Drosophila melanogaster: one gene and its partners. The protein of the gene in region 3 interacts with the protein of the main gene of each other region in a pairwise test. Each region holds a gene or a part of one and is shown on either strand. Other genes may lie near its edges. The genes, in order: CG15865, CG43894, CG13067 and CG13022.

Evidence for each region.
Region 1: the proteins of CG13067 (region 3) and CG15865 interact in a two-hybrid assay, tested with the Drosophila melanogaster proteins (one large-scale study listed by BioGRID).
Region 2: the proteins of CG13067 (region 3) and CG43894 interact in a two-hybrid assay, tested with the Drosophila melanogaster proteins (one large-scale study listed by BioGRID).
Region 4: the proteins of CG13067 (region 3) and CG13022 interact in a two-hybrid assay, tested with the Drosophila melanogaster proteins (one large-scale study listed by BioGRID).

The regions. Positions count from the first base shown.
Region 1 is NC_004354.4:16,659,707-16,667,993, forward strand, and holds CG15865 (uncharacterized protein), read right to left. Parts: upstream 4,750-8,287; coding exon 4,133-4,749; intron 4,004-4,132; coding exon 1,366-4,003; 3' UTR 1,192-1,365; downstream 1-1,191. Other genes in the region: r (rudimentary), read left to right, coding at 1-766, 832-936, 5,482-5,621, 6,329-8,153, 8,231-8,287.
Region 2 is NT_037436.4:12,886,616-12,892,405, reverse strand, and holds CG43894 (uncharacterized protein), read right to left. Parts: upstream 2,637-5,790; 5' UTR 2,183-2,636; coding exon 2,122-2,182; intron 2,064-2,121; coding exon 1,935-2,063; intron 1,867-1,934; coding exon 1,349-1,866; 3' UTR 1,301-1,348; downstream 1-1,300. Other genes in the region: CG14120 (uncharacterized protein), read right to left, coding at 3,239-5,790.
Region 3 is NT_037436.4:16,268,577-16,273,677, forward strand, and holds CG13067 (uncharacterized protein), read left to right. Parts: upstream 1-2,705; 5' UTR 2,706-2,763; coding exon 2,764-2,775; intron 2,776-2,848; coding exon 2,849-3,076; 3' UTR 3,077-3,342; downstream 3,343-5,101. Other genes in the region: CG13068 (uncharacterized protein), read left to right, coding at 859-870, 941-1,258; CG34248 (uncharacterized protein), read right to left, coding at 1,926-2,222; CG13066 (uncharacterized protein), read left to right, coding at 4,391-4,402, 4,602-4,871.
Region 4 is NT_037436.4:16,936,759-16,941,827, forward strand, and holds CG13022 (uncharacterized protein), read right to left. Parts: upstream 2,195-5,069; 5' UTR 2,185-2,194; coding exon 1,588-2,184; 3' UTR 1,572-1,587; downstream 1-1,571. Other genes in the region: Cpr73D (cuticular protein 73D), read right to left, coding at 2,480-3,825, 3,878-4,059, 4,843-4,980.

The DNA of each region.
Region 1 (8,287 bases), on a different chromosome or scaffold from region 3:
GACCAACCTACAGTCGGCCATCGAATTTTGCGAGGAGGTTGGCTATCCCTGTCTGGTTAGGCCATCCTATGTGCTCTCCGGTGCGGCCATGAATGTGGCCTATTCCAATCAGGATCTGGAGACATATCTGAACGCCGCCTCCGAGGTGAGTCGCGAGCATCCGGTTGTCATTTCGAAGTTCCTCACCGAGGCCAAGGAGATCGATGTGGATGCAGTGGCATCCGATGGACGCATCCTGTGCATGGCTGTTTCGGAGCACGTGGAGAATGCCGGAGTGCATTCAGGTGATGCCACGCTGGTTACCCCACCGCAGGATCTGAATGCGGAGACCCTGGAGGCCATTAAACGGATCACATGCGATTTGGCCAGCGTACTGGATGTCACCGGTCCCTTCAACATGCAGCTAATTGCCAAGAACAACGAGCTGAAGGTCATCGAATGCAATGTCCGTGTGTCGCGATCCTTCCCCTTCGTCTCCAAGACGCTGGACCACGACTTTGTGGCCACGGCGACGCGTGCGATTGTGGGACTCGATGTGGAGCCACTGGATGTGCTCCATGGCGTCGGCAAGGTGGGCGTCAAGGTGCCACAGTTCAGTTTCTCGCGGCTCGCGGGCGCGGATGTACAGCTGGGCGTCGAGATGGCCTCCACCGGTGAGGTTGCCTGCTTCGGGGACAACCGCTATGAGGCGTATCTCAAGGCCATGATGTCCACGGGCTTCCAGATACCCAAGAACGCCGTACTTCTCTCCATTGGCAGTTTCAAGGTTTGTTGGCCACTCCATTGATTATTGATATTAGTTACTCCATTAATAACTCCATTCATCTGCAGCACAAGATGGAGCTGCTGCCTTCCATACGGGATCTGGCCAAGATGGGTTACAAGCTATACGCTTCCATGGGCACTGGCGACTTTTATGCCGAACACGGAGTTAATGTGAGTATATTTATGTCTGTGTGCTTATTGTATATCATGCAACTTTAATCAAAATCCATTGGAGATGCGAGTCAACAAAGTTGAGTAGTTTCAATACTCATTTCCTACTATTTGTTTTCCCTGACTTGGTTTACAAATTGAACGGTTGTTTATATTGCATTATTTATTTTCCATGACATTGGTTTACAAATTCAATAACATTATTATCATAGAGAAATTACGTTGATTTCAAGATTACTAATTACGAAAATATATATGGCGCACATGGTATGGACAATAATTATGGCCCATAACTATATATATATTTCTATCTCTATCTCTAACCGCCCTTATCACAACTGGTTTATCTGTTATCAATATATCAATATATCACTAATCGCCGGGATTTAGCAATTTGGCTACTATATGGTAGTATTATCTTTAGTGTCTCTAGTTGAATGCGCCCTTGAGCTTCTGTGCGTTGCGCTTGAGGATCTCCTTGAGTTCATCCCGCTTGGCCTCGGATGGGGCTACTCTTTGGACCAGTTGCTCCGTTTTGCTGCCCAGCATTTGCACCTTATCCGTGTCGAGGGAGAGCCTTTGAAGGATTCCGTTTAGCGAGAGAAATGATTCCTCCTTGGCTGTTTCCTCCGATTTTGATTTGATTCCCGTTTGCGGCTTAAGGCTATCCACTTCAGGAGAATCTATTGGTTCTCTATCTCTTTGGACATTGGGTTTTTCTTCTATGCGACTTTCTATTTCCCGAAGCAACGCGCTCTTGATCTCCTCCTCCTGTAGGGGTTCAATGGCGTTCGCATCCTCTTGGTGGTGAGCTCTTAGAATCCCATTGAGCTGATGGTTTTCCAGATGGGGCATATGCTTCTGCATGGCCAGCGGTTCTGGAGTGTGTATCTGCACGACATGCTCCTGGAACTTGATGGATTTCCTTGGCGCTGGCGGAGATTCAACCACCGTGGAGGGACTGCCGCCCGATGACGTTGGTATATGCGATTCACACATGCGTTCCATATCGCTGGCTGCGTTCTGTAGTTCCTGGACGAAGTGCTGTGCCTGCTGCGAGCAACCGAGGTGCTGATAAAGGCGGCACAATCTTTGCCCATGCTCCAGATAAAGCTGTGCATGTCCACGGTTGCCAAACCGAATGGCACGAGCCAACATGGCCAGCGAATGATCCAGCAGAAGTTCGATCAGATTGCTCCTTCGCAGGATCTCCAAGCCGTTGTTCAGTTGCGGTTTCGCTGCTTCCTGGCTCTTGGAACTTTCCGGATTGGAGCGTGCCAATAGCAATTGGCGATCCAGGGAGTCGAGCGAGCAACGTCTTTGTTCCGTCGCCGAGATTTGAAATTGCTGAGTCGTGGCCCTTAAGAGCTGTGTCTTCCTGCGCAGCTTTCCTCTCGAGCGCTCCTGGTGCTGAGCCAATCCCAAGAGTCCCTTGGCATCGGTGATCTCCGTCCTTTCGGTTTTTTTTTTCGTTTCCACCTGCTGCCCGCCATTGTTTTCTTCACAGTTCTGCAGAGCGGGAAATCCCTGACGTGGACGCGAGAACTTGCCCCGTCCGTGCAGCTCCAGGTAATCCTGGCTAAAGAGATTCTCCAACAGTCGCTTGTACTCCAGTTGCGGGTAGAATTCCGGCGCGTGCTGAAGATTCCTCAGTGCCTGGATGACATGCAGCAGCGGTTGTTCCGCAATTCCGGCCATTATGCTGCGCAGCTTCATCAGCGTATCCTCTGGGATATGCTCGAATAGATTGCGCCGCTCAATGAAGTAGTCGCTCAGGTGTTTCTTGGCCAAACAGGCGTCGAAGGAGCGAATGAATCGAACCAATCGCTCGCCCAGAAACTCCTCTGGCCAATCATTGCTGTGCTGCTCACATTGCCAAAACATATGGGCTCTCAGCTGTTCGAGCAAAGCTCCCGGGGATTGGTCACAGGATGTGGTTGATTCGTCCACAAAGGTTTTGACCAGCAGCTTCATTAGTTGGAACACCTTCAATTGCATGGGCGTCAGGCAGTGCCGCTCGAGAAACTGTTCCGCCTGGGGAAAGACAATGCGCCATTCCAGTTCCCTGAAGGGATTTCGCGAACGCTTTGGTGCATAGCCCACTGGTACAACATGGAAGCCCATGGATCGAATACGTTTTTTCATCTGCTCCGTTGGCCATTGGAATTGTTCGGCAGTATGGAGGTTGGTCAAACGAGGACGAGCCCTCAGCCAAAACTCGAAGGCGCAATCCGGCCAGGAATTGGGCACATGAATGGCGGGCACCAGCTCCTCGCGAGCGGTATATACACTACAGCCGCGATACGAACACGCGGCCAGCTGCGATTGGCTGATGCCCAATTGGTTAGCCAAATGATGACGCAGCACCTCTCCAAAGTACAACATGAACTGCTGCGAACTGAGGTAGCACTGCTGCAGTTGCTCCACATGACACTGGCGAAGCACCTCCACCGTTTCATAGCCAGCCGGTGGATATTTGCGATTATCGGAATTCGCCTCATCCTTCTCGTCCTCGTCACTGCTGGAGGCGGCGGAGGATGACTCCTCGTCGTCGGTTTGCTCTAGCCAAGGAGGCAGACAATTGGCCAAACGGCGAATGCAATTCCCAGGTAGGACATTCCTCTGGAAATTGAAATCGCGATCAAATCGCAGCTCCTCCAGCGGTCGCGGAGTATTCAACCTGGCCAAGTAGACATAATCGTAGTCCCCCGAACTGTAGCCCGAGGATGGGGAGTTGGATGCGGAGGATCCCACATCACCGTAGATGCATTCCTCATCGCTGCTGGCCGGCAAAGATAAGCTGGAGCTAGTGGGCGTGCCCGCCTGCGGATGCGGCAATTGGTCGCGCAGCTTGAGGCGAACATAGCCCATCCACCTGGTCATCTCCATCAAGTTGACTAGCTCCGAGGGGCAGGGCGTGGTCCGGTAGTAGTCCGTCTCCAGGAGCACCTTGCACAGTGCCGCCACGGTGTCGTAGTTGGCATCGTGGGGTCGCGCCACGTCAACGTTCTCAAAGACCACATAGGTCACGGGTTTCTGCAGCAGCTGTGGTGGACTCTTCGAAGATCTGAAATCGGTTATAAATACATATATTAAAAACCAATTTTAAAATGAAAAAAGAGAAGATCATAAAATGTAGGCAAAAAAGTATAGAAAAATCTAGAAAGTATGGAGAGAGGATAAGGAAAAGACTTACGGCGGCTTGAAGAGCAGGTTCCTGGCGACAGCTGCATCGATGGCGCTACTTTGGAGCAAGCTGTGCTCGGCCAGCTTTTCGGCGGAGCAGTTGCGTCGCCTGGCCACGATTTGGGCATCGACCACGGCCATCTCGGCCTCGAAGTGCCCAAAGAACTGGATACCCAGAAGCAATTGGTTCAGCAGGAAGGTGTGCAGTTCGCGGTCCAATTGGTGTAGGGTCCTCTGCTCCACGGTCCGCTGGAACTCCTCGCGCTGCTGCTCCAATGTTCTGGCATACAGGGCACTGACACATTCGGTGGCCGTGCTTCCATTGCTGCCGCCCAGTAGACGCAGTTGCAGGGCGAGATCAGGATGGCTTTTTCCGTTGATGTGTCGTCTGTGAATCGATCCACCACGACCGAGGAAAGATCCTCCGGCGCTGGCAGATCCAGATCCTGCGCCCTTCTTTCGGCGACGTTTACGCGCGTTACGCTTTTGGAGCTTCTGCAGCTGGCGGAGATGCTTCTCCTCTTGGCGCCGCCTCCTCTGTTGGCGCTGGGCGGGAATGCCCGCCTGCAGGGCATTGGGCGTGGCACTGGAATCCACCTGCTCGGATCGCGACCAGGAGCAGCCCATACTCAACGGACGATCGCTGATTTGTGACTGAATTCCGGCTGATAAAGTGTACAATCTGCGATCGGAGTTCACCAATCACCAATTACCAATTACCTGCGATCTGCGATCTAGTAATGGCAATCGGAAAGATAAGAGCTGAACGACTCTTCCGGCCACCACCTCCTTCGGCCCAATTATCCATTATCAGCCAGTTCCTGGTGCTTCCATGAAAACGGAATTGATTTCCACTTCACTGTGCCGCACAAACAGACAAAAAACTCAAGGAGGCGTCTAAAATAGATGGTCTTCAAAGGAAATATAATATAAAAATTGATCTATTGAATTCTTATCTTAAAATAGTAACTTAAGATTTTCTTCTGATTGCACTCTTAGTTCGATTGAATATATCTTATTACCACTATTCACATATCAAATGTTCAAAGTTCGATTTATTTGGAATTATTGTGTAAGATCGTACATATCTGCACCACTGTGCCATTGCCATGGCCTGTTGCTCTATTGTCTTCGATGTAGACATGAAAGATCCATAAATAATGGTATCTATATGGTGTACTCTGGGCAAACAATTGATTGGAAGTAGAGTTGGTGGCGCGGATGACGATGACATGTGGCCTTGGTGATGATCGGTCGGTCGCATTCTCTATATATATATATATATATATATACCATTGTATATGATCTATGTCTATGTACGAGTAAATATTGTATATATGTGTGCTTTTGCCCTTGCAGGTGGAATCCGTGCAGTGGACATTCGACAAGACGACTCCCGATGACATCAACGGTGAGCTGAGACACCTGGCCGAGTTCCTGGCCAACAAGCAGTTCGACCTGGTCATCAACCTCCCGATGAGCGGCGGGGGTGCCAGGCGGTGAGTACGATTCGATGGTGACTCTTTTTAATGGCCCCCAAATATATATGCCACTAAGTTGGTGATCCATGGAACTTCAGGAAGAAGTCTGCAAGTGCGAATAGTATTTGTTTTCTAATTGTGTTTACCTATAAAACATATATAACATATTTCTTGTAGCGGATATGCATATTTATATAGCTAACCTACTTTGATAAAAGTTCTGTTTTCAGGGGTATTAACGACTTAATGATTCAATATTCAAACAAATGTTAGTCACTGGAATTTTTGGGCCTTGAACACAGTTTGCACAACAATTTGGCATATAATTTAAGTTATTAAGTTATAAAAAGGGCTTGTCTTAATTCCATTTCTTATCTGGCTCAGACATCTTAAATGTTATTTATATTTTCTTTAAAGTCCAATTGGAGTGCAAAGTACTTATAACTGAGTGCAAAGAATTTTCGTTTGTGTGGAGTAAAACTGATATCCGAACGATATATTTTTAGTGTTTTTTATAAAATTGAAGACAGTTCCAAACCTAAAAAGTATATCTTGTCATGTCCGTATGTCAGTTTATCCGTGTGTTTTTACGCAAGCTATTCTCTTATTTTTAAAATTAGAGCAATTAGTTGAAGAATTAATAGTTGTTAGTTTTAAGGCAGTGCCTTTTGATTATATGTACATATGTATCTCCAAGTAAATGTGATTTCCTGATACTATTCCAGGGTCTCCTCGTTCATGACCCATGGCTACCGCACCCGTCGCCTGGCCGTGGACTACTCCATTCCGCTGGTGACCGATGTGAAGTGCACCAAGCTTCTGGTAGAATCAATGCGAATGAACGGTGGCAAGCCGCCAATGAAGACGCACACGGATTGTATGACCTCGCGTAGAATTGTGAAGCTGCCGGGCTTCATCGATGTGCATGTGCATTTGCGGGAGCCGGGAGCCACGCACAAGGAGGACTTTGCCAGTGGAACAGCAGCCGCTCTGGCTGGCGGCGTGACCCTCGTGTGCGCCATGCCCAATACAAATCCCTCGATCGTGGACAGAGAGACGTTCACCCAGTTCCAGGAGCTGGCCAAAGCGGGAGCTCGATGCGACTATGCCCTGTATGTGGGGGCCTCGGATGACAATTGGGCGCAGGTCAACGAGCTGGCCAGTCATGCGTGTGGCCTTAAGATGTACTTAAACGACACTTTCGGCACCCTAAAACTGAGCGACATGACCAGCTGGCAGAGGCATCTCAGCCACTGGCCCAAGCGGTCTCCCATCGTTTGTCATGCGGAGAGGCAGAGCACAGCGGCTGTGATTATGCTGGCCCATCTTCTCGACCGTTCGGTTCACATCTGCCATGTGGCGCGAAAGGAGGAGATCCAATTGATTCGTTCCGCCAAGGAAAAGGGCGTCAAGGTGACCTGCGAGGTGTGCCCCCATCACTTGTTCCTCAGCACCAAGGATGTGGAGCGTTTGGGTCACGGAATGTCCGAGGTAAGGCCATTGCTCTGCTCACCGGAGGATCAAGAGGCTCTGTGGGAGAATATTGATTACATCGATGTATTTGCCACCGATCACGCGCCACACACACTGGCCGAGAAACGTTCGGAGCGTCCACCGCCTGGATTTCCGGGCGTGGAGACCATTCTGCCGCTCCTCCTGCAGGCTGTTCACGAGGGTCGTTTGACGATGGAGGACATCAAGAGGAAGTTCCATCGCAATCCAAAAATCATCTTCAACCTGCCGGATCAGGCGCAGACCTACGTGGAGGTGGATCTCGACGAGGAGTGGACCATAACGGGCAATGAGATGAAGAGCAAGTCCGGCTGGACACCATTTGAGGGCACCAAGGTCAAGGGACGCGTCCACCGGGTGGTTCTTCGCGGCGAGGTGGCCTTCGTCGATGGCCAAGTGTTGGTGCAGCCCGGCTTCGGGCAGAATGTGCGCCCCAAACAGAGTCCATTGGCGTCGGAGGCATCACAGGATCTGCTGCCCAGCGACAACGATGCCAATGACACCTTTACCCGCCTCCTCACCTCCGAAGGACCCGGTGGAGGCGTACATGGAATATCGACCAAGGTGCACTTTGTGGACGGAGCCAACTTCCTGCGCCCCAACTCGCCATCCCCACGCATCCGTCTGGATTCCGCCAGCAACACCACGCTGCGGGAATACTTGCAGCGCACTACCAACTCAAATCCGGTGGCCCACTCGCTAATGGGCAAGCACATCCTTGCCGTTGACATGTTCAACAAAGATCACCTCAACGACATCTTTAACCTGGCACAGCTGCTCAAGCTGCGGGGTACGAAGGATCGTCCGGTGGACGAGCTGCTGCCAGGCAAGATCATGGCCAGTGTGTTTTACGAGGTCAGCACGCGGACGCAGTGCAGCTTTGCAGCTGCCATGCTGCGTTTGGGAGGGCGAGTGATCAGCATGGACAACATCACGTCGTCGGTGAAGAAGGGCGAGAGCCTGGAGGACAGCATCAAGGTTGTGTCCAGCTATGCCGACGTCGTGGTGCTCCGTCATCCATCGCCCGGAGCTGTAGCGGTGAGTAGAAGTCCGTGGAACCGTGTTCTATATGCCATTGAATCCATTATCTACTTAATTTTTTTTATTTCCAACAGCGCGCAGCGACCTTCTCCCGAAAGCCGCTTATCAATGCCGGCGATGGCGTCGGTGAG
Region 2 (5,790 bases), 3.4 Mb from region 3:
CCTTTCTTTACAGAGCTAAAACAAAAAGTGATTTATCTCGCGAATGATGTATCTCAATAATTTTATTCAAGATTAATCGTCAATTATATTTGACATTTTTCTTATTTAATAATCGAAAATAATCTATTGTTAAATGACCTGGCAAACAATGTATGTACACAATATATTCATACCTGGACAGCTTTCGATTCATTTGTAAATGAATAATGATCATGTAGATTTCGGGGATCATTTAATTGAAATCTAACCATATGAGTTGTAATCGTTGTTATTGTTATTATTGTTGTTGTTATAATTGTTATAGTCGTAGCTGGGTCGTGCAGTAGTGTACGTATTGTAGGGATTGTAATTGTTATACGTGGGATAAGCTCCATTCGATCCATAATATGAATTTGGATTCACGCCCGTACCCGTGCCTGCCCCAATGCCCATTGGCAGGATTATTAAGGGCTCCACAATTATGCTGGTACCACCCATAGTTCCACCTCCCTGGGGCATCATTGGCATCATGGGCATGGCACCTGGCATGTACGGTTGTCCCATATAAGGTTGTCCCATATACGAGGGATAATACGCACGCCCCGGAGATGGTACATTCATTGAAACAGGACCAGGATACGGCAGCGCTCCTGGCATTGGCATTGGTCCTGGCATGGGACGCATTGGAATCTGACGTGCCGATCGATTGTGAAATTGTGGTAGTGTTGCATCAGAATCCATTTCGGAATCCGTCATCGTTTCCCCCAGAGAAGCTGACAAATATATGTATTAGCTATTAATTTTAGGAACGACAAATTTGAAAGTAATGAAATAATGTTCGGAAGGAGTCCATCCGGTGCTGAGTAGCTTTGAATTTTTTTTAACCAGTATCGAAGATCTTAGGAAGATCCACCCGAAAAGGGTAAGTTAATATTGTAATTATAGGTACTATAACTGGGTGGGTACGGATTGTAAAATGATGGAAGTGAGTTCCCAGCGGAACGTCCATTATAGTTCATATACGTTGGATAGGACATCCCTACTGAGAAGTGGAGCCAAGGATTGGCCGAATTGGGTTGTCCTTGCATGGCATATTGCCGGTTGGCCTGGTATTGAATTGCGTACTGTGGGTTGGGCTGAGGTGGAATCACATATTGTGGTGCAACTTGACGCGGCTGCTGCATTTGAAACGGTGGGCGAGGTGGTGGATACCCGGGTGGCATTGAAGCTGGCATCCCCACAGGCTGATAAGGCATTTGTGGCGTTCGCCGGAAACGGTGCAAAACTGGCGAAGATATAGAAACGAAAAAAAAAGGTTGATAATAGATTCTATATTTATTATTTGCACATAACTAAAGCTCCTGGTCTTTTAGCCAGCTAATGTGAGGTAGATTAAATAGTTATTGGTTGATGAGGGATTGGCTGATCTAGACAGGGGGTATCCATATTGACCATATGAACTTGACCGCACACTGGGATAGCAGTTATAGTAGCATGGTGGAGTGGGAGGAACTAATTGTGGCCCATTGGCCGATCGCTGCTGCGTATAAGAAGGCAATCCTGCTCCCGAATTCGGATAACGGGGATAAGTACAGGAATATGGGTAGAGCGGACTGATGGTACAGGGAGGACTTTGTCCTCGATTTAGCCAAGGATTTGGCTGTTGAGGTTGCTGGGAACCATCTTGAACAATAACCAAAACATTAGCCTGCCGTTGGCCTGCATGGGTGGCAAATGTATCGGAGTTACTGAAATCGCTCAGCAGTTTAAAGTCACTGTTCCTATTATTCCGATTGCGACTCGTGGAAGTGCTGGGTATGATGATGCTGTTTCGGGTGTTGGCAGTGGTCTGTGTAGTGTCGATGATGAAATCGCTGGCCAGCTGATCTGAAACGGATCAGTTGAAAAGGACCAGATTTCAGTGTGAACCGATGAAAAAACAAAATTTTACGAACCTGATTGGCACTCCGGATAGGTTCCACATTGTTCTCCTTCTTGCTGATTTGGGTTTTCGCAGGGAACTCTGGATACAATGCATTTTTTACCAGATATACAGGCAATATCCTCACAACTAAGTCCAAATTCTGTATTGATAGTGGGGAATTTTTTAGATTTTATCCCTTATCCTGTTCGCTGACTTACTTCTGTATCCTTGGACAACAATCGTCGTGGCTAATATCAAATATATACCAACAAGTTCCATTTTCTCTTGTAAAATTCCGAAACTAACTAAATTCATTTCCCTAAATCCCTCATATTTATATCATTTTGATATTTCATGGTTGATGAGTTGCGGTAATGATTATTTGCAAAATTAAATCACCGAAATATGATGATTATTGTTCTGACTCTTTCTAACATAAATAAAAGTTCATTAAACAGCGCTAATTGAATATTTTTGTATGGCTGTTTAAATGCAGTACATTAAAACTTACACGATTAATAAGTTACTGCCTAAATATTTCAGCAGTAGGTTAGCCGAATAGAACTATCTATTAAACGGTCTCTGAACTACGCCTTGAACAGGGGTAAATAAACATTGCTTAACAAAATAACACACACTTTCAGCCTTGATAGATATTACTGATTAATTAAAACGAAGTTTAACCGCATTGTTGAATCCGCAACAATTCTAAGTGAATGATTACTCGACCAATATAAATCAATTTTGGTTTCTATCTGCTTCATTTACGGTTTTTGCCTTTTGTTTACCCCCTAAAAAGTCCATTATAATTATTAACCAAGCAGGCGTATACTTCATACGTTCTGCGACGATTGTGTTGCGATAAGATAAACAAAGGGAACCGCACAAGTAATACAAGGTATTTCCTTAGCTTCGATAAGAAAATGTGAAAGTCACTGCCATTGGGACTTCGATTCGGGCCAAGGGACTGCCTCTTGGGCTACTGGAACAGCAGAAAAAATTAAGGCTTTTGGAAACGTGCGGCACGTGAGCAAATAATCCAATGGCTGGGTAAATAAATAGCTCTACCCCGGCCATAAACGATAACGTCAAGCATTTGATAACCTTACTCTTATCAATATGTCCAACATGCAATAAACTCCAAAGAGAACAAAAGCTAAACGTGATTTCACTGTTTTATGGCCCATGAGAACTTAATTTAAACGTGCCTTTAAGCATTTTCCTAAGGGCTACCCTTCAATAAAAACCTGTTTTCTTTAAGATAGTCTTTTTATTGGTTTTAAATTAAGAAATTCGTTTTTTTTTTTGGAAATTGCACACCCACAAAATCTGATATTAAACACCCAGGACTCCATCGACAAACAGGTCTTGTAAAGGTAGGTCTTTCACCACTGCAGTAAAGTCCTCCACAGTACAGGCATATGAATAGCCCTTCTTTAGGTCCTCTTTGGTCCAACTGACCCAACTCAGTTGGGCGCCAATATCCTGGCAGATGATGTACTCCTCTTCGATTTGCTCAATGGTGGCATGTGGGTTGTTAACTCCAAGTAGCACGATGCCATTTCTGCTCTCGCGATCGATAATCACGCGGAAGTACAACTTTGGCACTGGAATCAGACCATTGTTGTTTTCATCAAAGTCCAAATAGAGCTCCCTTCCAATGCCATTTACATCCGGCAGGGTGGACACACCCCATGTGCCCGTATAGCAATCCACTGTGATGTTTTCATCCGCCACAAACTTTCTCACACTGTCCTCGATTCGTTCCCAGTTTCCGCCATTAAAGGTCTGCCACTGAGGTGCCGCATTCACAAAGAAGAAGCTCGCCTTTTGAGCGGCCCCAAAGACAAAGTCGGTCTTTGCAGAAAGGTGACCCCGAGCCAGATAGACATTACCAGTGGTGTTGAAGTATGGTGAGGCATCCATGCCCAAAATCTCGGAAACCGTGATATTCTGTTGAACTTGGGTGTACAAAGTGTTCACATCCTTGCCTCCGTAAAAGTCGCCGGGTATAAAGGATGGCCTGGATACAGATCGCTGATATTGGTCACTTCCGGGGTACAAAACATGATGCACATAGCGGGTGACTTCGCTCAGTTCATCGTGACACACGTCATAGGTCTGCAGGAAGTCGTCGCTCGAGGAGGATGACAGCTGAAAGCCCACTTCAAGCAGATCAGTACCACCATTGCAGGGACGACCAGAGCGACGAGCAGTGTATGTTGGCCAGGAAGTGCAGACAAAGTCCTGCAGCTGATACAAACTGCCCATTGCCAGGATGCTCTGCTGTTGCCAGCATGTTGAATTGACGAAGGTATAACCAGAGAAGGGTCCACTGAAAGAATTGATGCAGTGGAACTCAAGGGCTTCTCCATGTTTTAGCTGAACTACTCCTTCTTGATTCGGTTCCAAATATCTCGCATGACCCAATTCACTCCTGACTACAAATAAAGGAGCCGGATCCTTAAGATCACCGTTCACTTTAAAGCTGCACACTTCATTGTCCAAGATTTGATCAGTCAAACCAAGAATTCCTGTTGTTTGCAGTTGATCTGTGGGCAAATCCTTAACCACTTCGATGAAATCTTCTACAGAGCACGCATAGGAGTAGCCCTTCTGCAGGTTTGCTTTGTCCCAGTCCAACCAATCGATTTGCGCTCCCACATCCTCACAGATCACATAATCCTCGAGGGTCTCCGTCAATGTTATATGTGGATTGTTGACCACAATTAGAACTACTCCCTTGCGACTTTCCTGATCGATAACAATGCGATAGAGGATCTTAGCTACTGGCAGTTGTTTGGTCTCGGCATTCAGATACAGAGGTGTCTGGACACCTTGTGAATTGGGTAGAGTTGAGATATCATAGCTGCCGGCATGTACACTCACATTAAGTGCCTCATCCGCCACAAATTGCTTCAAACTGGATTCCACTGCAAGCCAATTTCCAATATTGATGCTTCTCCATTGAGGAACTGCGTTCACATAAAAGTGGGTGGCTCTCTGGGCGGAACTATGGACGAAATCAAGACGAGCTGCCAGCTGTCCTCTGGTCAAATAGAGATCCTTAGTGCTGTCAAAGTACTGACTGGCATCTAATCCCAGGGCCGTACTAAATGCATCCAGCTGGTGTGATTGGTCATATAGAACATTGACATCTTCGCCGCTATAGAAGTCACCTCGAAGATAGCCCGGTTGAGCAACACCCTTTTGGTAGGCCACATTGGCCGGAGTCAGTTCATAGCGAGCGTATCTGGAGATCTGCTCCTGCTGATCGTAGCAGAGCTCAACATGGCTAAGAAAACCGGCAGCCACATCGAAGCCGATGTGCACCACATCCGTACCACCAGCGCAAGATTGTCCCGATCGGACTGCCGCATATGTGGGCCAACTCTGGCAGACGAATCCTCGAATATTGACCAGCTGTCCTTCGGCCTCGTACAATTGATCACCAACACAACGAGCGCTCAGAGCTGTATACCTATTAAATGGTGATACCAGAGCTCCAGTGCAGTGCAGATCAATGGAGGATCCTTCTTCCACGGTGTAAAGCCCACTTTCATCGGGCAGCAGCCAGCTGAGAGCTCCTTGCGGTGTTAGTAGTGGAGCAGGATCCTTGAGATCACCATTTGTACTAAACCTACAGGGATTGGCAATGGGATTGGCAGTAGTCACCGGAGGACTTGAAGTAGAGGTAGACGTTGGAGATGTTGAAGTTGATTCTTCGGTTGATAAAGTTGGTTGTGAAGTGGTAGAGGAAGATGTAGTTGAAGTAGGTTCCAGAGTGGTAGACGAGCTTGGTTCTGTTGTGGATGTAACTGTGGAGGTAGGTGGTTCAGTGGTGGGTGTAACTGTGGAGGTGGGTGGTTCAGTGGTGGATGTAACTG
Region 3 (5,101 bases):
AATTGAGTACAGGGTATTCCGAGGTCGTCCTCTCCCCAAAAGAACTTGCCCTGTAGGAACCCCTACATGTCTGGCTTCATTTTGCTTCAGAGATATAAGCCCATACAGGCACGTTTCGATTGTGAATGGACTGGTAAGCTGAGCTTGACTCTTATTAAAAGCTGTCTGCTAACTTTAGAGCCTCAGTTATCTGGCGACCCCCTCGAAACTGCATCTTGCCATGCAGTTTGTTGACCTTACGATGCGAATGTAAACGTAACTGGCGTTTTTTGGCTCGTGTGTGAGATTGACCGCATTGCATCAGTCAAGCGGATTAGATTTTGGCCGAAACAAAGAACGGGCACGATGACATGGTTTTGATTGCATAAAGACCATTGCAGCCGACGGACGTAACCCTGAAACAATGCGCTCGCAATCGGATTGAAGCGTGCAATTCCATTTCATTGATTCCTGGCCAACTCTTGGCGCAGGAGGTTACTCATCGGCAATTAGCCGTGTCTGGTGGCATCAATCACATCGGGCTACTGGTCACCTTCGCGGCGACATCTTTTATGGGCCCACAATGCGGACGTGCCCGAAATAATGAATGGGTTTGGTCTTGCATTCAGATTCGGATTCGGATTCGGATTGGAATCGACCTCCGCGGGCGGCGGGAACGTAGCCAAACGGCCAATTGAGCTACTGAAAGGCCGCTCTGCATTCCCATGCAGGTGGTATAGAATCATTCGCCCCATTATCGTGTGTGCCCAGAAAGTCAAAAGCATCTATGCGATTTCCCGGTGCTATAAAAGTTGCATGTCGGATCGAATCAAGTCATAGTCCAATTTGCTAGCTCAAATCAAACTAAACTAAACCATCATGTTCAAGCTGGTGAGTTGGTGGTTTCTCCATATGGATACAGATATCTGGAGTATTATATTAACTGGTTATTTCCGTACAGTCTGCCCTCGTTGTCCTGTGCGCTCTGGTGGCCTGCTCCTCGGCTGAGCCCAAGCCCGCTATCCTGGCCGCCGCTCCAGTGGTTGCAGCTGCTCCTGCCGGCGTGGTCACCGCTACCAGTTCGCAGTACGTGGCCCGCAACTTCAACGGTGTGGCTGCTGCTCCAGTTGTTGCCGCTGCCTACACCGCTCCAGTTGCCGCCGCTGCCTATACCGCTCCAGTTGCCGCCGCTGCTTATACCGCTCCAGTTGCCGCTGCCTACTCTGCTTATCCGTATGCCGCCTACCCTTACAGCGCTGCATACACCACTGTTTTGTAAAACGGATTAACAAGTATTCAAAACGGATTTGAAATGGAATAAAAATAGACCCGACTGGCAATAAAACAAATCAAACTAAAAGCTTAAAAATATTATTCTGGAAATGGGAACACCAAGTTCTGTTTTTCAATAGCAAAAAAGCTATAGTTATATATTATTAATACTTTTTAATGGATTTTCTACTATTAATTATTATTTCTCAATCTTTTGGCGGCAACAAAAGTTCTTGATAGTATTTAAAAAGAAAGTCACCTAAACATATACGTTTTTTATAATTAATATTTTTTTACTGTCACCTTTTCTAAACCTTTTGTTCTGGCAGCGTCTGTTCTGCCCACTTAAAATGCGGAAATGTAGCCCGAAAAAATACCAATTCAGTTGCGTCATCATCCATTGACAAATCACAGATGGCAAAAGTGATAGATTTCTCGAAATGTATAGGTAACCGGCATCTCTGGTAGGAGAATCACGTGTTGGCCATTTAAAAATTGCCGACTGAAAGTTGCGTCAACCCGAATAAATAATTATGCATGTGCGTGTCTAAAAATATATTTCTGGCTTAAAGCGGGCAATAACGAGTAAAATAGCAACCATAACAGGGAAAGGATTCAACAGGAGGGACAACAGTGTCCTTTGACCACCTTATGGCCAGTGGGAGGACGCTCCCCTAGGCAGCCACTATGTGGACGGGAATGGAGTTGCTGTAGCGTCCGAATGGCAGCCACGCAGCTGGGTAGAACAAAGGATAGCTCGGCGGCGGTGCAGAGCCCACAAGTGGTGGTGGCCCCAGTGGTGGTGGGGGAACAGCAGCTCCAGCTGCCTGGCGGGGCGGTGGTGGAGCAGCCCGATGGGCAGGCGGCACATCGATCTCCTCGGCAGCATCCTGGATCTGACCCGCGGCCGCCAGGTGGATCAGAAGGAGGAGCACCACCTGAAATGGCCACCGATGGCGAGGCCTCATCATCTTTGAGCAAGTGCATCGACTTCTCGGCGGATAACCGCTTGAGACTTACTAATTTCCTGTACATAGCTAATCCGAGCTGATAAGATCTGATAGCTCAACGTTCTGAAAACGAAATAAACATGACTGGAGCGACAGAACCCAGCTTTATAAATTTCTGAACCCAACCCGGCAGTTTTTGTGGGTCATTTCCAGACTTGCCGATGGATGGATCAATATCCAGCTACGTTTTAGTATGCAAAACACGGACTCACATTCGATTTGTTTTTCGCTTTTCGTCACGCTTTTAAAAATACCAAACGAAACCAAAAGTGCAAAGCCATAATGCTCAAGATTCTCCTTGGCTGGCTTCAAAATGGACTTGGAACCGATCTGGGAATGGATGTGCATACCAATGGCCACGCATCACCTTCGCTTCAATGTGGGGAATTGGAATGGAATTTTCTCGACCGATTCTGCTATATATACCCGAGTACTCGGGCACTAGGAGATATCAGTCTAGTACTTGAGAACCAACAGTTCACAACCAACCCAAACAGCCAACATGTTCAAATACGTAAGGATCGCAGGATAGCTGGACTTGCCACCAAACAACGGATTACTCATAAGCACTTTTCCTATCCTTTCAGTTCGCTCTGTGCCTGTTCGCCATCGTGGCCTGCGTCTCTGCCAAGCCGGCGGTGCTCGCTTCTCCTCTGGCCTACAGCGCCTACTCCGCTCCCTATGTGGCAGCTGCTCCTTACTCGGCTGCCTACACCGCGGCATACACCGCTCCAGTGGCCGCCGCCTACTCCGCCTACACGTACCCCTATGCGTCCGCCTACTCCGCCTACCCCTATGCCGCCTACTACCGTTAAGACTGGATGAATGGATCGTGATCTTAACCTGACTGCTGAACTGGACCTGAATATAAACATATACACATCTATTGCAACAAGGATACACACCTTCCTGCTAACCACCTGCAACATCCAATCTTCTTACATCCCTGGTGTTAGTTCGACAGACTCTACATTTCCCCACCTCTGCCGACTGCTGAAAGTTAAGTCATGGGAACAGGACATACCACTTCAAGAAAGGGAATATTTTTGTTGAAATAAATACTGCATTTTGCGTAAAACGTATACCACTTGTTCATAATTTATTGCATCACTTATTCATCTCTAATGTGAAGGGAGTATGTATAATCACATACTTTTAGGCAGTACTCTTTTGCAATGGGTACTAAGTACTAAATTTGGTATACATTAAAATCCAATGGAAATATTATTTATAAAGTAGGTGATATCATATTTTCAGTAAATATTTCTCACACTAGTTTCATAAATTGCTAGCCCCTACATTTTTTAATTTTGGTGGGCTGGAAGGAATCAATGACTTTTTTAAGCTTTGTATCAATAAATTGCTTTGATACATTGGAAATTATTTTTTGGACTTAAAACCTATTATTTGTTAAAAAAAAAGGAAGTGTAAAGGAGGTTGTGTTCTTCGTGGTGGAATGTCCATGTTTGCATTGGATTAATAGGGTCAACGAGACCTCCGGTTTATTGAACTCGCGATTCCATTTATGCAAAGCTTTCGATTCCCTGTTTCTGGTGTCCTCAACCTTAAGCCAAGGGCTCAACTCGATGACGTCCTTCGAAACTGGATAAACCGCTTCTATTTTTACTTGCATCTCTGATTAGAATGCAAAGTGGCGTGTTCGAGTGGCTGACAATTGAAACGTACAGAGTGAGCCGAACTCCGGAGATGGCCAAGACGGTTGGAATGACACGCACGTTCACAGCCCACAAAACGCACTGAGTGCTAAATTATGATAATTCAATCGGCAAACGACAGCTGCTGACGCCAGTTGCGGAAATGCTCAAGATGAGCGGGAAAAAACATTCATTTTCAATAATAAATTCACAAGGAATGCGTACTATTCGCAGGCATATCGACAAACACAAATCTGCAACATTATAATTGTGCCAGTAAAAAGAGACCAAATGTTTGGCCCTGTTTTAGCCCTGGTACGTGATGGAAATGCTTTAAACTTGCTGGGTTTTTGCTTTTTCAATGGGCTTTGTCAAGGATGCTATGTATATTTACCTATATAAACCACTTCGAACTCAGCACAAGACATCAATCAGAAGTCTAACTTCGACGCTAACACAACCAAATCAATTAAAATGATGAAATTCGTAAGTTTCCAACATTTTTTTAAGGATACAATGTTTCAAAAATGCAACAATTCACAATCCTAAATACAAACAAAAACGCGTGTGTTCGAAATAAAACTATTATCAAACAGTGTAGATTTTTCAAACAATTTTTTATATTTATAAAACTTCTTGTAAATGTGTATTTTAATGTACTTTTTGTATGCATTTTATCCTGCAGTTTGCCGTTGTCCTGTGCGCCCTGTTCGCCGCCGCTGCTGCCAATCCTGGTCTGCTGGCCTACAATGCCCCTCTGGCCTACTCCACTCCACTGGCGTACAGCTCCCTGCCCGCTGCCGCACCCCTCGCCTACACCGCCGCCTACACCCCTGCCTACGCCCCCTACGTGGCCCCCTATGCCAGTAGCTACAGTGCCCACAGTGTGGCCCACAGCGCCGCCCTGCCAGCCGTTTATGCCGCCGCCCCTGTGGCCACCATCCTCAAGAAGTAAGATGTCCCAGGATGGCAAAGGGATTCCGCAAGGCTGCCGCACGTGTCCACCGGACGTCGTCACTGCCACGGCGAAAGATACAGATACAAACAGAGATGGAGATACATGCTCGCAGGCAAACAGAAATTAAAACGCAATGCATCAGGCCCACGCACTGACCGACTGAGAAGTGAATCGAGTTTTATTCCTTCCGTTTAATTTTAATCTTGCCGTGGGCATCGGGACTTTTC
Region 4 (5,069 bases), 670 kb from region 3:
GGCGATAAATCGAACCCCAACTGAAATCCAAGCAGCCGAAGAGCGAGTCGAGAAGTTGAAGACCGAAGACCGAAGACCGAAGACCCAAGACCCAGAGACCTTGGGGCCTATTTATAAATGCAGGCGAAACGGGACTGCTAGTGGGATGTCGTTGCCTAGGCCCGGGCCAATTAAGTCTGACCTTCGGCGAGGAGGAGAATCCCAGCCCAAACCGTTGTTTATGAGGGGGAAAATAAACAGAAACAGCTAACTGGCACCTGGGAGAGCCGGAGCCCCAGTAATTTGTGGTTTCAATGCAGGCCGTTCTGCTGCTACGCTAACCCAATTATGCACCTCGGCTACTTCCCAGGTGAGCCATTGATTTCTACGCTGAGAACGTGGCCATTTCAGCCATACAAACCCTAGACCCGGCCGAATAGAATCTATGTCAAGCTATGGCAAGCTTTTTAGTGCTCTTCTGTACGTTCTTTTAGTGCATTCGGCGAAGAAAGTTTTCGAGTGCGTAGGAACTTGTTTCAGGGAAATCACTCGCTTAGATCTCTTGACATTAAAACTTAATTGTGGCAGTGAAACTTTCGGTCAAAACTGGCCCATGTAATAACTTTTTGTTTTAGCAAATATGCATATTATTATTGCTTATGGGCTTTTCTTGGCTTCGCGCGGCCAGAAATATATTTTATTTAGGCCACGCCGTGGACGCCAAGGCTTTCCGTTCGATTCAAATTATTTGGCAAGTGCGCGCACGCGTCGAACATTTCAAATGCTGTATTATTTTGGTCCCTTTCCGACATGAAATTGCCCAAACAAAAATAAATAAGCCACAGAGCTGACTCAATTTGGCTTTGGGATGCACTGTCCATTTGTAAAATGACTTTGTGCGACCGAATATAACCATTTTTATGATCGGAAAATCAATTAGGGTTTATAACATGCATAAATCGCCGCAGTTGTATCGTGCCAAAGCACGCGCCACAAGCAATTAAAGCTCTTACAATCATTTACGATCAGAAACTGACAATGTTTACCCTTATCTACTTTATGCAAACATTTTTATTGTAAAACGTTTAAAAATTATGTCCAGGCAAGAAAATTTTCTATTAATGCGATGACCGCTTTTATGGAACTCAAGTTATGTTTCTTTTTAAAATGAAGAAAAATATTCTTTCTACCGTCCTATTTAGCATAATATTATATTCCAAGATTTACAATTACAAAAAGAATTCATACATTTTTGGACATCTATTTTTACGTACATTTTTTTTTTAATTTCACCATTATTTATAAATGTTAATATAATGTCTTCCGATCCAAAGATAATTTTGTGCCGCGTAGAAGTTATGAAATCCAGAGCTCTCGATAATATTTGACTATTGCTTGCATTCTATAACCAAGCAAAGCTGCACTCTTTTCTTTGAATGAACTCTGTTTTACAAGTCATTCATTCTTTGACATATGTTTACAGTTCAGATCCCCGATCACGTAGGTCTCAAACACGACAGGTGACACTGTCAGATCTCCAAAGACTTCCAGTAAATAACGCAAAACACCCAAGTAGAACGAGCAATAGTTTTGGCTAATATATTTTATTTACGTGTAGCCACGATATTTATGCAACTCTTGCAGGCTAGTCAAGGCATTTGTTTGGATTCCGTTTCCGATTTCGATTTCCGAGTGCGGTTCAGCGGCGGTGGTGGCCTTGGCCAAATTGCCACCCATGACCACGAATCCGATGCCGGCGCCCGCCTTGTAGCTCAGCTCATGGTAGCCAGCCTCATCGTAGTAGGAGTACTTGCCCAAAACATTTCCCGCCTCATCGGTGTGCTGGGCATGCGACATCTGGTCGGTGCTGAAATCAAAGTTTTGCTGGCTTTGCCGGTGCTTCAGGTGGTTGGTCGATGCTAATTGGTAGCCCGCACTCAGCGAAGATGTTGCCACTGCTAGGTTATCCTGTGTATTGTAGGAAATCCGGGAAAGTGGATTCTGTCTTGTCCTCAGAGATTGATGCACAAAGTTCAGCGGACCAAAGGAATCCAGAGAAGATGCCCCAAAACTAGGCTTAACGACACTCCTATCCAATCTATCGCCATCCGTGTTGTAGGAGTATCCTTGTCCATTGAACTGCATATACACTTGCGCTCCTTGAGCACAGGAAACTATCAGCGAAGCAATGAAAAGCACCAACATCATGTTCAAGTCTCAGAAACAACTAAACTCCGAGCATGCTAAGTCATGGGGTTATATGTGGATTCAAGGAAACCGCAATGTGCAGATTAACCTGCTTATACCCGGATCCACGGATATCAAATAACTATTCGCTAGAGATACAGATACAGTTTGAGATACAGATACAGGCAAAAAATGTATTCCGCTTTAAATACTGTTTTAGTTTCCATGTGGAGTCAACCCAGTTTCGGTTACTCAACACTGATCACTTAGAGCTACGCACTACAAACTACAGATCTACAGATCCAATGGGTGCTTAGTGCTCCCTTGAGGCATTCAGCTCGGCGATCTCATCCTGACGCAGTGCCTCCGACGGCGAAAGTCCGATCCTTCCGCCCAAGGGTATTATGTCGATGTTCTGGACATGGGCACGCACACTTTGACCAGGCGGCAGGCCCACGTACCATTTACCCACGTTCTTGATGACGGTGGAGTCGCGGTGTCGCTGCACCCACTCCCGATCCCTGTCGATCTCTAGAATTCGGTGGTTGGCGGTGACCAGAGGAGGCAGTGAACTGCCCACATCGTCATCGTTGAGGTGGTAATTGTCCCCGGGTCCGCTCATGGCACTGGTGCCCGATCCACCTGTGGGCGGCAGGTAGCCCAGGCCGGAGTCGCCTTCCCTGGAGGCTCCAGCTCCACCTCCTCGACGACTGCTTCCACCACCGGCAGCACCTCCCCTTCCTGCTCCCCGCTCAGAGGAGACACTTACTCCACCAACGCCGCCGAATCGGTTTCTGTTTCGGGACCCACTAACATTGTTTCTCGTGGAGCTACCTGAACCACCTCTCTGAGAGCTGTCACCTCCGGCATCGTATCTAGTACTGCCCCGTTGCGGACTACCCGCAGGGAACCCTCTTCTGTCTTCTTTGCCATTAAAGTTGGTGGAACCAGAGGAGCTGCTGCCAAGCCCAATGTCATCCCCTTGGTCATCAGCATGGTGTCCCAGATTTTCATCAGCTGCCCCAGCATCACCATCTCCACGATTCCTATCTCTTGCTCCATCAGCCGGCTTTAGGTAATCTTTGCCTCCGGGTCTGCTTGGAGTACGGCCCCTTCCCGCTCCACCTGCACCACCACTTGGCCCCGAAGCTCCTACCGAAACACTTCCCCCACCTGATCCACCACCACCTCCCTTCGGACCTAAGCCACCACCAGCACCCCTGCCAAAATCATTAGCCAGTCGGAAATCTGGATCTGTCAAACGAAAATCAGCCACAGAGGGATTGTTATGGGTTCCAGGACCAATCCGATTTTGCACCACCCGGTAGCCAATTCCTGCTCCAGCTATATACTCCACTGTCCGCTGCACGCCCTTGTCGTCCAGGAAGGAGTAGGTTCCTCGCACCAGGCCATCGGGTGCTCGACTTTCTGCCCGTCGGTGATCCGAACCTGAGGCGATCAGCTTATAGCTTCCAGCCGGCCCCCTTTGCACAGACATCTTGCCGCGTGCTTTGGGATGGGACGTGTACAGAGGACTGGAGTACGCCACAACAGATGGGCTGTCCGGCACAGCGTTGGAGATCTCGAATCCGGTTCCGGCTCCAGCTGCATAACGAACACTGTGCCGCTCGCCCACGTCGTCCAAATAGGAGTACAGACCTGGGATAGAATCAGTTAATATACTCTTAAGTACCATACTCGCTAAACTCGCCTCTTATCCTATTCCCGGAATCATTCTCCTCGCTGCGCGACTGATCCGGAGTGCGAAAACTAAAGCTGTAGGATGGATCGTCGAAGGGATCGGCCAGCGGATCGTCCGGACTTCCCCGCGGCAGTACCGGATACTGAGCCAGGTCCATTTTCCGATGGATTTTCGGTCCGTTCACGCGAAATCTATGTGGGAAATAGAGGGAGATTAATTAGCTACCGACACAATGAGTGGGGATTGGGTAAACCCTTTCAGCGGAAGCGGACTTGCACTGCAATTTTGAATATAGATTCGATCTTAGCCCGGCACGCCATTACTTCGATTACTACACATCTCGGGGAACGATCCCATTCAGAATCATCGCTATCGTTGAGCATCTGCCATCTACAATCCATTCCTCTTTTTTTTTTGGCTCGAATCTCTCAGGCCAGTCAATTTGTTAACAGCTTTTTGTTTCCCCCGATTTACCGGAGATTGCAAAAAACAACAGTAGCGCCGAAGCGGTAATGGAAAAACGTTTAGGCAACGCCAGAAAAAGCAGTCCAATGTGTTAGAACGGCTCCAACTCCATGGATCCCCCTCCGTTTGTTTGGGTTTCGCTTCAGTGGCCGCCGCCTGCCGCCAACCGCTGATATATGAGCTCAACTCTGACATCGAGGGGAGATAACTCACTTTGTGCTGCCACTTCCTCAGCGGCCAATACACTCAGGAAAAAACCGCCGACCTTCCTCAAGGAAGTTACCTTCGAGTCATGTATACCCACAGAACTTATCGTTGCCTAATTATTTTTAAAAACATTTGAAATACATATATTTTAAAAATTATGTTTTTCTTTTACGCATATTTTGACATCATCAATTTTAAATGCATTTTTCTCCACACATATGCACTCTAAAATGATACTATTTTCTTGCAGTGCACCAGCGCACTTTACCCACTAGTCTTGGCTACCGTCTTCGATTACTCACCCACGTGGTCCGGCTGTGTAGACCGTCTCCTCGATCTGCCCGCTCGCCGGACTCCGCGAACCGTAGCGACCTCGCACCGTGTTGTCCGGAGTGCCCGAGGCGCTGTGATAGTAGCCGCCAATGTCATCATTTGCATGTCTTTTGGCCGATTGGAAGCAGTAGCAGTAGCAGTACCAGCAGCAGCATATCCATTATCCATGCCAGGTGGGATCCATCGAAACAGAAGT